Linked DNA regions of Mus musculus. The main gene of each other region encodes a partner of the protein of the gene in region 2 in a complex. Links are inferred from orthologs where the notes say so. Each region holds a gene or a part of one and is shown on either strand. Other genes may lie near its edges.

Region 1 (6,848 bases), on a different chromosome or scaffold from region 2:
CTAAGCAGAAAATGGGCAACATCACACAGAGTGCTCTAGGCTTGGAACATGGGACAGTTACCTAGCTGATGTGCCTCAGTTTACTTCTCTCCAGAATGGGTGCAATTGTTAAAACTGACTGTCACCGTGTTAGCCTCTAGCTCACCTACGTGACCAACCTCCGGGTATACCTCATAGTTTCTAGCTGATGTGGGCAGACCCGTACTAAATGTGGGTACCGCATTCTGTAGGCTCAGATCCCTGGCTGAGTGAGAAAGAGAAAGCTAGCTGAGCAGTGCTCATCTCTCTGCTTCCTGCTGTGACACGGCAGGGCAGCTGCCTCACGTTCCTGCTGTCTGTCTTTCCTCGTGATGTCTGAACCCTCAACCTGTGAGTCACACTGAACCCACCCTCCCTTAAGTTGCTTATACTGGGTAGTTTTGTGTGGCAGCAAGGCAATTCGCTAGCCCAGCAGGGGATGCTGTGAGGACTTCCAGTTGCCCAGGAGAGTGGGCAGTGGACCCCAGGGAGCAATGGTACTGTGAACCTGTCAGACCCCTAGCAAGACTAAGGAACTGAAGTGGAACAGTTCCTAAGGCAGGAGTTCCCAGATGCCTTGGAAGAACTCTGAGCAAGTGTGGGAGGGTGTCTCCAAGTCCCATGTGTAGCCAGCATTTGCTACTTTACAAGTTCAGGGGTACACAGAAGGCAAGCGCTTCCCCTTCCAGTTAATGGCAAAAATCAGCTGTGAAGGAGGGGAAGGCGGGGACCTGGCCAGAAGGCGACCCCAGCCTGAAGGCCATGCTGGCCACCAGGAGCAGGCTCCTTGTCCTCCCCAACCGCACAGCACCACATGCTCTTACCAGAGAGTGTGATACCCTCTCTCTCCCTTACAACCCCCTAATGCTAGAAAGGACAGAACAAAGGATAGAGGGGAAAGGGGCGACATTACTGTTAGACTACTTCCTGTTGACAGAGGTGTGAGTTCCTTGGTGAAAGTTTGGTTTTCTCTGTCAGCATATCGAATTTCTTCCTCTTGTTGTTTCGCCTTTGATCATGCCCACTTATCAAACTATGACCAACAGCAACCAACCACCAACCAGCAACCCATACCACCTCTTGAGAACCCAGCATTTATGTACCCTCTGAAAAGTCCCCAGAATTCCAAACGTCTCACAATTGCAGAAATTATCTGCAGCTGGCAAAATCACGCCCCTGATAAAGCATGAGGCAAGTCATAATCAGCGGCTGTGAATTGTTTAAAGCGGCCCCATGTCCTACACTTGGGATTAAAATGCAGACGTATTCTTATACAGTTTCTGTTTTTTCAAAGAAGCCGCAGATTCACCCTGCACTTGTGCTTGCTCCACTTATCCTGCTACTGCTGACTCGTGAGCCCCTCCTCATGTCTGTCCTTGAGTTCCACATCCACCTAAGCCAAGGTCTCAGGTTGAGAAGTAAAAGACTTGAGTTTTACCTGTTGGCGACCAGACCCATGACCTCTGCGAAGGACAACCCCAGCAGTGTCCTCTCCTTCTGATCCAGGAAGTACATCCCCTTCCAGTTAATGGCTAAAACCAGCTGCGTCTTGGGAAGGCGGGGACCTGGCCAGAAGGCAACCCCAGACTGAAGGCCATGCTGATCACCATGAGAACCCTGTCCTCCCCAACCACACAGCACCACATGCTCTTACCAGAGAGTGTGGTGACTTCAAATAGCCGGGAGAAGAGCAGGGGCCACAGAAGACGGGCAGCCTCCACTGTCTGCTCCCTCACCGCCAGTGGCGTGGCTTTCGACTGGGTATACTGGGCCTATATAGAGTGGAAAAGCCCGGGCTGCATATGGAAGGATGAAGGACAACCTCCAACATTGGCCCTCACCTTCCATCTTGATTGACAGATGGTCTCTCTCTCTGTCTCTGTCTCTCTCTGTGTCTCTGTGTCTCTGTCTCTGTCTCTGTCTCTGTCCCTTCTCTGTCTCTCTGTCTCTGTCTCTCTCTTATTTTTTGAGACAGGGTTTCTCTGTGTAGCCCCGGCTGTCCTGGAACTCATCCTGTAGACCAGGCTGGCCTCGAACTCAGAAATCTGCCTGCCTCTGGCCTCCCAAGTGCTGAGATTAAAGGCGTGCACCTCCGCTGCCCAGCATGACACATGGTCTCTTGTTGCTCACTATTGCTGTGCCAGGCTAGCTGGCTCCCAGGATTCTATCAATCCTCCTGTTCCTGCCTCCATCTCTCTGAAGGTACACATCGGGACTGCACAGGCGTGTGCTACCCCACCCAGCACTTCATGGGTTCTGGTGATTTGAACTCAGGGTGTCAGCCCTGCGCAGCAAGCTCTTTACCAACCAAGCCATCTCTACACTTCTCTCATCCTTATATTTCTTCCCTTTGCCTGGCTCGCCCTTTCCCTTCCTCACATGTCCCACATCCACTGGGCTGTGCCTAAAATGGCCTCAAGTTTTCTTTCTCTGTTGGACCAAATGCCATTTCTCATCTCTACATTCATGTGCTGACTTTAGGCATGGAAATGAACACAGCAGATATGAAGGGTGATTTGGCCATCTGCCACATGTACCAAACACTTAGGACGTGTACACGGTGACCTAAGATTTCCATGTGCCCACTGAGGGGACACTGAAAGGCTTGGAGGTGAGCATGAAGGGAAGAAATGATGAGCCTGTGCCAGGCCACAGAACTGTCAGAATTCAGCAGCTGTGGAGCCTCAGGCCCTGGAAAAAGGCCAGCTAGGTGCCGCTGGGCAGAGCAGTTTGGGACCAAGAGGCCTATGCAGAGGGAGGGCAGGTGACAGGAACCTGTGCTGATGTGCTGAGCTGAAGGAGACACTTTGTCCCTTGCATCAGGGATGTGCCTTTTAAGGCTTCCTGGTCCCTGGCACATGGGAGACTCATGGGGGAAGGGACCCATTCCTCTCATCACCCCTCAGAGTGGACCCAGAGTGCCCAGCCTGCCACAGACTGACCTTGGCATGGGCAGCGGTGACAAGGCTAGCCCACTTCTCTGGAGACTTGGTCCGGTACAGTTTGGAGGGAACACAGCTGGGCAACAGCTCCTGGACAGCGTTACTCTTCACCGTGGCCCCAAGCTGCACATAGCAGTGCCGGGCCAGCAGCTCCACAAGCTCCTCCTCCTGTGTGCCAGGGACAGCGGGAGCATAAGAGGGGTGAGTAAGGGCCCACAAGGTCTTCCCACGAGGCAGCTCCTGCCTCAGAGCAGTGGGGCTCACCAGCCTCTCACACAAGGAAGGAGGCAGGAGCAGCCTCCTGTCCTAACCTCTCCCCTACACTGCTGCTCTAGGAGGGGCAAAGTCCTCCCATGCCAAAAACACAGTGGCTGCCCCATTCAGGCAGACGGCTGAAATGGCTGTGGCTGTTAGGGTCCCAAGACACAGCCTCCTGATGTGGCATGTGGTGTTTGCACCTGGTGCCACATAGTCACAGAGCACCCTGTTGTTAGAGCTCTTTGTGCATCCCAGATGTGAGTGACCCCGAGGGTCCTCTTCTTCCTTCCCTTCTCATCTCCTCCCCTCTTCTTTCTCCATGTTCTTCCTCCTCTTTCCCCTCTTTTCCCTCCTTCTCCCTCCCCCCAACCCCTAGAATAAGCCTCATGTATCTCAGACTGGCCTCAAACTCCCTATATATCCAAGGATAACCTTAAACTTATGCTCTTCTTGCCTCCCAGTTGCTGGCATTACAGGGGTTCGCTACCAGGTTCAGTTTATACAGTACGAGGGATCGAACCCAGGCTATCATCATTCAGCTTCGAGGCTACATTCCTGATCCCCAGGATACACTGCTCTATGAGCAGCTGGTGTGGGAGGTCAGGGAGCCTGGGACAAGTAGGGGGGCCTTTTCTGCCTGATGCTGTGGGTGCCAAGGATCCCAGATGCCCAAGCAAACCTGCAACCCAGAGGAGGAAGAAGGCGGCCAGGCCTGGGAGAGATGTCTGTGCCCAGTGTTGGCTCCATGCCTGCACCCTTGTATCTACCTTTCCATCCATCCTTCCTCAGGCTCCTGTCTGCCACATTCTTTATTACTTCCATTGCCACGTAGCCCCTATACTGCAAAGCATCCTGATGGCCACAGTCTAGGAATGGGGCAACTCGCAGGGCTCCTCACCTTCTCAAAGTTATACTCGCCAGACCACACCCCACGGAGGACTTGGTGGTAAATGAGCTCAGTGCTCACAGGGTCCTCCTGGGAGTCATGCCAGGGGGTGAAGAACTCCTTCCGGAAGTAGATACGCCAGGGGGCCTGCCGCTGGCTCTCTCCCCTCTCTCGGGCCAGTTGCTCACACTGGGCCACAGCATCCATCAAATGGTCACAGCCGCTGCCCAAGGACCAGAACTGAGAATTGGGGGCAGGAGGGATTAACAGCTGCGATATGCCACGCCCCAACACAGACATCTATCCTTAACATCGTATGAGGAAGACAGGGACCATAGTGCCCTGTGTGGGCCAAGAAGCCACTCCTGAGTCCAGTCGGACACCAAAATGCTTCTTTCTTTCTCTTCATGTTTTGTGTGTGTGTGTGTGTGTGTGTGTGTGTGTGTGTGTGTGTGTGTTTGTGGAGGTCACAGGTGGATGGCAAATCTTCCCTAATTGCTTTCCATCTCTGTTTCCGAGATGGGATCTCTCATTGAACCTAGAACTCACTGATTTGGTTGGGTTTGCTGGTCAATGAGCCCTGAGACTCTCACATCTCCATTTGGGTAGTGCAGCAGCAAATGCCGCCATGCTTAGATTATTTACATGGTACTGGGGGATTGGTCTCAACTATCCATGCCACAGTATGTACTTTACCAGCTGAACTGTCTCCCCAGCTCGCAGAAGGTGTCCTGGTCTGTCCATCACCTCCTAAAATGCTTCCTAAAGAAGGGAGAGTTTGACTCCTACAGATAAATATTAGGGTTCCTAGGTTTGGGGGTAAAGGCTCATATCTAGCCCTATGTGGTTAAACGTACAACTGATGGCCTGTAAGTATGCAGGAGGACTGGGCGTGTGTTATGAGGTGTCTCTGGTGTGTGTGCATATGCATGGATGTGTGTGTGTGTGCACGAATGTATGTATATGCATGCCCATATATGTGGTGTGTGTGTGTGGTGGCTGAGGATGCAGGCATGGCAGGTTAATAGGTACAGATTCTGGCTTCAGGGTGCTCTGGCCCAGGTGTGCATAGGAGGCATAGGTAGGATATGAGTCCTAGCTGATACCTTATCATATACAGCGACCTGGAGGGAGAAGCCCAGATTGTCCCTGAGACCCTGTTTCTGAGCGACGTGCTGGCAGATTTCTCGTGATGTGGAGGCGGAGTCCACAGAGATGGTCAGGCTCCTTCCGGTTGCCAGGATGACCTGGATCGGGATGTGCTTCTTGGACTTGACAGCCTAGGGACAGATAGGCGGTACTCTGCAGTCCTGGGACCCAGAGCCTGTCCCCAGAGGCTCCCCATCCCTAAGCTTGCTTGTTCCTACAGAGTCCTGAGGGTGAGTCCCTCAGAAGACCCAGGGTCTGATTGCGAATTGGCATGGTGTCCAGTGGTCTGTGCTACCCACCCAGAGCAGGTAAGCTGTAGACTTTGTAGTCTCTGCAGCCCTGATGTATAGCCTGTATCCCATAATAAGCCACACTCAGATGCAAACCCAAGGTGCTGAGGTTGTCTCAAAGTTTAAGTCATTGGATCCTAAGCCCAACACTGTATAGGTAGATACGAGTGGCTTCATGTTCACCTATAGTTTGCCTATTTGGGAATTTGGGGAAGGAAGGCAGGGGAAATTGAAGAGTGAACATGAAGGGAATGTGGCCAGAGGAGGCCTGCTGTCTACATGGGGCAGGTACAGGCACTGCTGTGACCCAGAGTACTCCCTTTATCCTGGTGGTCTGGAATGACCCTTTCTGAAGTCTTGAGAACTCAGGGATGTCATGAGACAAAGCAGGTAGAGGTGGTGCCGGCTCCCAATAAATAGCAGAGCTATGAAAGGCGACAAGCTTGCAGGACCATTGCCTTCTAGAAGCTAGAAGCAATCAGTGTGCGCTCTCTATACGGAGCATGGTAGTGATATCTTCCCGTCCAGGTAGGTGGGAGGTAGGAACAAAACAGGAATGTGGGTTAAGAGGTGAGTAGGGAGGCTCTGAAGCCTAGGCCATGCTGAGTACCGGGGTGACCTGGAAGGATCAACAGGGGAGCCAATGAGAGCGCTCAGCTAGCAAAGGCAATTTTGCCAAGACTGATGACATGAGTTTAGTACCTGGTACCCACATGGTAGAGAGAGCTGACACCACCAAGATATTCTCTGACCTCTGCATGCATGCTGTGGTACCCACAACCACATGGTGTGCACACAAAAAAAGGTGGAAGGAGTCAAGAAACAGTGTGTTCCACCCTGCCAGCACCTACCTGCAGCTCCAGCCAGGTGGGGGGTTCTGCGCGCACCCCATTGGCGAAGGTGCGTTGCAGCCGTTCAGCACAGAAGGGCCCATAGCTGGGTGGCCCTTGACTAATGAAATTCAGCAGATACTGGTGGTGAAAAGGGGGTGGGAAAAGGGAGACATTCAGAATGGAGGCTTCCTCTATTTTCGGCCCAGGTCAATTTAAACCCTTCTTTGCTGGAGATGTGGCTCAGTTGCTAGTGCTTGCCTAGCATGGCTGAAGCCCTGGGTTCTAGTCACGCTCAGATAGACTCTAACTCTCCATCAATAACTTCAACACCAGGTGGGACAGTTAGGTCTGATCTCCTGCGTCTACCTCCTGAGGGCTGGTACAGGCGTGCATCACAACTTCTACTCTTATGTGATGCTGGGGATTGAAGCCAGGGCTTCACGCATGATCAGCAATCATTGCTACCAGTTGA
Region 2 (7,337 bases):
GAGAGTTAGCTCCTAACAGTTCTCTGGGTTTGTAATTTGATATTAAGGGTTATCTTTTTTTTTTTTTTTTAAATATTTATTTATTTATTATATGTAAGTACACTGTAGCTGTCTTCAGACACACCAGAAGAGGGCGTCAGATCTTATTACAGATGGTTGTGAGCCACCATGTGGTTGCTGGGAATTGAACTCGGGACCTTTGGAAGAGCAGTCAGTGCTCTTAACCTCTGAGCCATCTCTCCAGCCCCAAGGGTTATCTTTTTTGATTTGAGTTTCGGTGCTGGGTTGAACTCAGGTCTTGGTGCGTACTGCTACCACTAAGGTCGGGGACTCCAAGTATGAAGATGTTCTGCAAGCCTATTTGTCTTCAATCCCCATCCATAGCTCCCCGCCCCAACTCCTTTACAACCTCTACCCACCTGCGTTTCTTTTATTCTAACCTATCTCCATTTTCTGCTACCAATTCAAATAAACTGTCTCCTTCCATCCAAAAATGCAACCCCAGGCCTACGAGGATTCCCATTTTGTTTCTGGTGCTGAGCTGCCCTTAAGGTGGTTATCTGCAGTAGTCTACCCTGCCCTGGCTTCAGCAGGAGCGCTAGGACACTGGTCTTCCTTTCCTCTCAGTCGTCTGCCTGCCCTAGGCTCCTCAAGACACCTACAGCTCCTTCCAGACAAGAGTGCGGCAAGGTCTTGGTCTAGGCTAGGCTCCAAGATGAGTTGAGGTCTCACAGTGCGGTTCGCTCTGCCCGTCCTGAACTGCCACCCCTATTTTCTATCCCTGGACACAGATGAAGATGTCCATTTCGCTACTTGGTAGCACTACTCCTCTAATCTCCCCCCCCAAGGCAGTTGAGGGGCGCCAACACGGCGGTAGGGACAGGAGGTGGCCGGACGACAGCTGGGTGGGCGGCCCTGACCTTCCTGCAATCAATGAGGCGGGGCCGGCCGCGCGGAGCCGGGGCGGTGCTGGAGCCCACCGCCGCCGGCGGTCCCGGCAGCTATAAAGCGGTGGCGCGGGGCTCAGGCTGAAGTTGCAGCATTTGTCACACCCAGAGCCCGACCATGGAGCCTCCGCTGCCCACGCCGATGCTACTGCTGTTGCTGCTGCTGCTCTCCAGTTCCGCCGCGCTCCCTGCACCTCCCAGGTGAGCAGGGTTGGGAATCCGTTTCATCCCGGCCACGCCCACACTTCAATTTCTGACCCTTATGGCTTCACCCCTCCCCAGGACCCCAAGACACTCAGACGGAATGTTCACCAGCGAGCTCAGCCGCTTGCAGGACAGTGCCAGGCTGCAGCGCCTGCTGCAGGGTCTGGTGGGGAAGCGCAGGTGAGCCCGCGCTAGGTAGAATTTTCCAGACTGGCTAGTATGGGACAGGCCCGCCACATCCCTGTACACCACTAATTCTACTTTGGGCGTGGGGGTGGGGGTGGGGTCAGCGAGCAGGACACAGAAAATATCCCAGAGAACAGCCTGGCCCGGTCCAAGCCCTTAGAGGACCAGCTCTGCTTGCTGTGGTCGAACACTCAGACCCTACAGGACTGGTGAGTTTTCCATCCTCAGCTGGATTCCTAAAGTGCCCCAGCCAGGTGGGTACCCGCACTCTGATGGTCACTCACTAGTCCCCTCTCCTTCCACAGGCTTCTGCCCAGGCTGTCCCTGGATGGGTCCCTGTCTCTCTGGCTGCCTCCTGGACCAAGGTCTGCTGTTGATCGTTCAGAGTGGACTGAAACAACCAGGCCACCCAGATGAGGGAGGAAGAGTCTCTAGGACCCTGGCTGGAGTAGGGATTGGTTGTCCTTGGCATCAATAAAAAAGGAATTTAGACCCTGGTCTTTTAGCTCATGGTGTGTGATGTCTGATAAAATGAAGGCCGCCTCTGCTCCGAGAGCCTGGAAGGCGTGGACAGATCCAGCCATCTCATTCAGTGGCTAGGACCACACCCAGCTGCCCTTTGAACCCAAGAAGCCAGCTAGGACATTTCTTATCTCTGGCATCAGCTGAACCCCTCTTTTCCCAGCTGAATTCCCTAGAGTGCCACCTTGCCCTGTGGTCCATTTAGCAAAATTTCTAGGGATCAGGGACTCCCCACCCTGGTCCAGCCATGTGGCCAGGGTAAATGAAGTGGTGAGGAGGAGGCTCAGGCGGGGTCATAGGGGTCCGCTTATGAGTGGGAGGACCTGAGTACATCCTGGCTCTAACATGTCTAGGCCTGAGGCCTGACGGTGATGTCATCTCCCAGTAGGCAGCTGTAGGACCAGTGAAGGGTTGTGAGACAGTGCTCAGTCTTTGCAGAGGCTTGGAGCCTCGGGAAGGTTTTCAGACACCTAAAGCAGCCAGCCCTGCAAAGGCCCACAGTAGTGAGAGCTGTGCAGGCCCTTTCAACAGAACACCCCCTACGACCCTCCTGATCCCACCCAGGGCCTTCTTCCTATCTCTGAGAGCTTACAGGCAAAAGGAGAGGAAGCATATCTAATGGAGGCCTGGGCTGTGTCCTCACCAGGATTCCTGTCTTCCATCAGATACTGGCTCCCCAAACCCCAGCTCCTAGCTGTGGCTGAAAGGTTCTATCTGCATCCTAACACCAACCAAGGCTCTGCCAGGCCCTACCCTGGGGGAACTGCTGTGTTTCTCATACAGCAGGAGCATACTGGGACACAGCCATTTCCCTTGGGAGTGGACGAGGGAAGGGAAGGGAGACGACATGACATAGCTCCAGGGATTTTGCTAGAGAACACTGAGGAGAAAGAGACAAGATGAGGGACACCCCAATGAGGGCTACAGTAGACCCAATGGCTCAGCCTGTTCTTGCTCCCAGCTCCCCACAGCCCTGCCCCCATTCCCCACAGCCCTGCCCCAGCTCTCCATAGCCCTGCCCCAGCTCCCCACAGCCCTGCCCCAGCTCCCCAGACCCATGGTTCCATCCCACAGGCCTGCTTCAGCCCCCAGCCCTGACTCAGCTCCCTACAGCCCTGCCCCAGTTCCCCACAGCCCTGCCCCAGCTCTCCATAGCCCTGCCCCAGCTCTCCATAGCCCTGCCCCAGCTCCCCATAGCCCTGCCCCAGCTCCCCAGACCCATGGTTCCATCCCACAGGCCTGCTTCAGCCCCCAGCCCTGACTCAGCCTCCTTAGATCTATGGCCCCAGAGCCTTGCCCTGGCTCCCCACACCTATTCTCCACTCCTCCTTGTTCTCAAGCTTCATACACCTTATGTGTAGTTCCCGTGGGTTGAGTCTCCAGCTAACTTCCTGGAAGTCCAGGCCGAAATATGACCTCATGTCCCCTGTTAGTGCCGGCCAGCGGGAGTCCCCTTGATAGAGGCCATCTGTAAAGGGTCATAAAATGAGGCGGTGCCTGGCAGGGGCGAAGGTCGCCAAGGCAGGAATTGTACCAGCCCTGGAACCAAGCAAGCTGGATCCTTCTTCCAGGTGACAGCTGCCGCCATGGGGGCTCCGGCCCTCCTGTGGCCTTCCCTGCTGTTGCCATGGCTCACAGTGCTGTTTGGCCAACCTCCGGGGACCTTGGCCCAGACCCAGGGTATGTGTCGGGCAGGGGCAGGACAGGTGGGTGGCAGAGCTCTGATGAGGAACCAACTTCTTCTTTCCAACTTTCTAGTCTGCTCTGTGAACCAGACCATATTTAGAGTCGAGGAGAACACCACTGTTTCTGAGCCACTGGTGAACATTTTTGTCCCAGACGGCCTGCACGTGACCTTGGGACCCTTGTCCACTCCTTATGCCTTTAGGATCGAAGGAAAAGATCTGTTTCTCAACGTGACTCCAGATTATGAGGTACAGTCTGTAGGCTGGATGGAATGTGCCTTCATGGAGACATACATGGGCGGGCCTCCTAACCTGGGGAAGATTCAGGGAAGGAGGGGCTGAGGGTTCTCTATCCCCCTGAGTGAGGAACCCTTCAGGCCCTGTGGTCGGTTGGTTGGTACTGAGGGGGAGGGCCGTAGGGGACAAAGCTGCCAAATGCCCCCCCCCACACACCCAGGATTTCCCACAGATGACTGGGGCGCTGGAGCGGTACCTGCTCTCCTAGCCGTACTCTCCCGTTCTAGAGCAGCATAGCTCCTTATGTGGCAAGTGACTCATAGGGCCCCTGGCTTCATCCTTAGGAAAACTCATTGCTCCAGGCAGATGTGGAGTGTAAGAGAGGAGATGCGGTGGTAAGTTAACCCCAGTACCTGATCACCTCTGCCTTCTGTCAGAGTACCCCAAGGCCATTCCCCCATGACCTCAGCTCTCTCCTGGCCACTCCCACGCTTGCTTCTTTCAGCCTAGACTTCCCTGAGCTCCAGACTCAAAGTCAGCTAACTTAGAGCTGTGGATTAAGTCAATACCCTGAGGCCCTAAGTCTGCCTCTCATCCCTCACCTGCCAGCCACTTAGGCCCCTTTTGAGGTCACCCCACCCCAGGTACATTGTTGGGATTGTCGGTTGTGCCTCAGTTAGAGTCAGCCCTACTCTTCCTACCTCTAGTCCCACGGGGCCTTGGGCAGCAGGTCTCCTTTCTGACCCTGCCGCAGATCCATTTGCTCTCCGTGCCCTTGGTCCTTCTCTATTCCTTCCCCCACATAGTGAATCCCTAGAGAGTCATAACCACAACCCCAGACAGCCTCACACAGAAACTTCTACGTTTCTTACCGGACTCCAAAGCTAAATGCACAGGTGGGTGGGTGAGGCAGGCTAGGGCATGCAGACACTGATCTGGTATGCAAATTCATTTTGATGCTTAACCCTCCTACGTTATGCTGCCCCGCTACCCTATCCCATACATCGTATCCCTCAGCCTCCACCACAAGCCTTTTACTAAAGGAAGCTCGAAGAAATAACAGGCCCCACATAATTTCTGCTTCACCATGAGCAACTCTCACACCCTGCACTCCTACCTGGCTCCATGACATGTTACCACACACATCTTGGGCCACGTCTCTAATAGGTAGTAATATTAAAAAAACAAAACAAGACAAAACTTATTTTTTTTTTTTGGTATAGTTCAGTGGTAGAGTATCTGCCTAGTATGATTTGAAGCCCTGGGCTCCACCTTCAACACATGAATATAATTCACACACATACACAGACATACAGATACACAGAGAGACAGAGACAGAAACAGGAAGACAGAGAGAGGCATGGACTTGGTATCTGTCACACCTGAGAAGAACAGCTTTCTCTCTGTCCTCCAGCACCTGGCTGTGTTCGTTTCTCCCTGGGTCTCAGGAAGGGTTCTCTCATGGAATAAAGCTGTTTGGTTTTAACCTAAAGGCCCCTTTCTCTGATCTTCTCTTGGAGACCTGTTTCTGAAGCCGCGAGAGGCTGTTTTTCTCCCTTCGATGCGTTGCTGGTTGTGGCCCTGGGATTGTCATCATTTCTCTTCAGCCCACCCACCACACACATGTGGCCACACTCTAAAACTTGTTTTTACAGTCTACGTTCCTCCTAGAACAGTAGCTCACAGGCCACCACATTATTGCTGCCATCAGAGCTGTGGAATGAAAGGGAAAGAATGACTGACTGACTGAATGAATAAGATAAGAATAATGAAACAGATAAGAAAAGGAATGAATGAATGATGGGTCATCAGAGCATTGCTGACTTTGGTGACTTTGCTGCAGGTGGTACGCCTGGAGGTGTTTGTGGCTGTCCTGGATATCAATGACAATGCGCCAAAATTCTCCTTTGAAATCAAGACATTTAATGTATCGGAGGTGAGCCCAGTCGGAACCAGTGCTGTCTTGAGCATGGAGAGGCAGGGGGACACAGGGTGTCTGCAGGGGGACACAGGGTGTCTGCAGGGGGACACAGGGTGTCTGCGGGACCACATCGGGAAGATCTATATACAGAAACCACAGCATGGCTGGACCAACCTCCTCTTCTCCATTCCCAGGACACCAAAGTGAATACAACCGTCATCCCTGAGACACAGCTGAAGGCTACAGATGCTGACATAAATGACATCCTAGTCTACACTCTGCAGGAAGTGACCCCCGTCAGTGCTTCCCCAGCCCCACTCATTATTGACAACCCTCACTCTTTCTGATGCCTTCAGGCCTCAGTTTCTCCACCTTCCAGAGTCCCACCTCCTTCCCCTCCACAGAATGCCAGCAAGTTCTTCTCCCTGGAGGGCGTAAACTACCCTGCTCTGAAGTTGGACCAGACCCTGGATTACTTCAAGAATCAGAACATGACCTTCATGCTGCTGGCACGGGTAAGTGGATCACATCTTCCTAAGTCCTGGGTGTTCTAGGTCCTGTCCAAGCTGGGCCTGACCTATCAGGGGCTGGCTGTCACTACAGGATACTTGGGAGGAAAATGTAGAGCCCAGCCACACGGCCACTGCCACCCTGGTCTTGAACACGCTGCCAGCTGACCTACGGACCCCCTGGTTCCTGCCATGCTCCTTCACAGATGGCTATGTCTGCATTCATGCCCAATACAGTGCGGTTGTCCCCACGGGACACAAACTGGTAATGGGGAGAAAGGAGGCCCAGGCCCAGGGTCAGACTTGAATCTAGAGCCAAGTCAGAAAACGTTCAGGGAAGGGATCCAGCCATGGCCCTGTGCTTCTGGAGAGGCTGGCAGACAGTTCTGTGATTTAAGAAACAAACATGAACAATCAATCAATCGATCGATCAATTAATCATCAATCAATCATTAACTATCCCTCCTGGGGGTGGGGCAAAAATCAGTGAGGAGTGTGGATCCTGTTATGTAAGCTGGGATGTGAAGACTTCAGGAGCAGGGCTGATGCTAATAAGGGACTGCTAAGTCCTTGTCTAGATGACAGTCTCCTCTGAGGCCAGCAGTGCCACTGGGCAGGGTGGCCCGCCAAGGCCACCACAGCCTCCACTGTGCAGAGGGGCATACACTGAAGCTGCAAGCCTTCCTTCATAAGTTCTTGTTGCCACTGAGTCCTTCTGTGGCCGCAGCTCTGTCCCAAGCAGGCACTGCCCCTCCCTCCAGGCTCCAACTCACGTTTCAGATCTTGAGGGGCAACAAGAGAGTAAGAGCGGGGGCTCTGAAACCTCAAGATGTCCCTATCCCTACAGCCGTCCCCCCTCATCATGAGTCCTGGTCCCATCTATGCTGTGGACGGAGATCAGGCCATTAACCAGTCTATCATCTACAGCATTATAGCGGGTAAGTGAGGGCTTAGCTCCACAGCACCTGGAGCCCACAACAGAGGGACCAGACACCAAACTCCACCCCCAAATTCTTCCAGGAAACACAGATGGCACATTCATCATCAACGCACACGATGGCAACCTCACAATGACCAAAAGTATCCCGAGCCCCATGAAGTTCACCCTTCTGATCAGGGTGGGTAC

What was found. Proteins that work in one complex are often made in the same cells at the same time.
Region 1: Cdhr5 (region 2) and Myo7b share a complex: the UniProt entries of both Homo sapiens proteins name them as parts of the IMAC/intermicrovillar adhesion complex. The link is inferred for Mus musculus from reciprocal best matches to the Homo sapiens genes CDHR5 and MYO7B.

Annotation. Positions count from the first base shown.
Region 1 is NC_000084.6:31,969,865-31,976,712, forward strand, and holds part of Myo7b (unconventional myosin-VIIb), read right to left. Parts: intron 6,515-6,848; coding exon 6,395-6,514; intron 5,385-6,394; coding exon 5,211-5,384; intron 4,345-5,210; coding exon 4,117-4,344; intron 3,129-4,116; coding exon 2,961-3,128; intron 1,791-2,960; coding exon 1,673-1,790; intron 1,584-1,672; coding exon 1,457-1,583; intron 1-1,456. UniProt on the Homo sapiens protein: Myosins are actin-based motor molecules with ATPase activity. Their highly divergent tails are presumed to bind to membranous compartments, which would be moved relative to actin filaments.
Region 2 is NC_000073.6:141,272,827-141,280,163, reverse strand, and holds the start of Cdhr5 (cadherin-related family member 5 isoform 1 precursor), read left to right. Parts: upstream 1-3,377; 5' UTR 3,378-3,445; coding exon 3,446-3,539; intron 3,540-3,617; coding exon 3,618-3,793; intron 3,794-4,125; coding exon 4,126-4,176; intron 4,177-5,624; coding exon 5,625-5,717; intron 5,718-5,896; coding exon 5,897-5,998; intron 5,999-6,106; coding exon 6,107-6,217; intron 6,218-6,305; coding exon 6,306-6,476; intron 6,477-7,058; coding exon 7,059-7,149; intron 7,150-7,231; coding exon 7,232-7,329; intron 7,330-7,337. Other genes in the region: Sct (secretin isoform 1 precursor), read left to right, coding at 1,066-1,148, 1,230-1,331, 1,442-1,546, 1,625-1,754. UniProt on the Homo sapiens protein: Intermicrovillar adhesion molecule that forms, via its extracellular domain, calcium-dependent heterophilic complexes with CDHR2 on adjacent microvilli. Thereby, controls the packing of microvilli at the apical membrane of epithelial cells.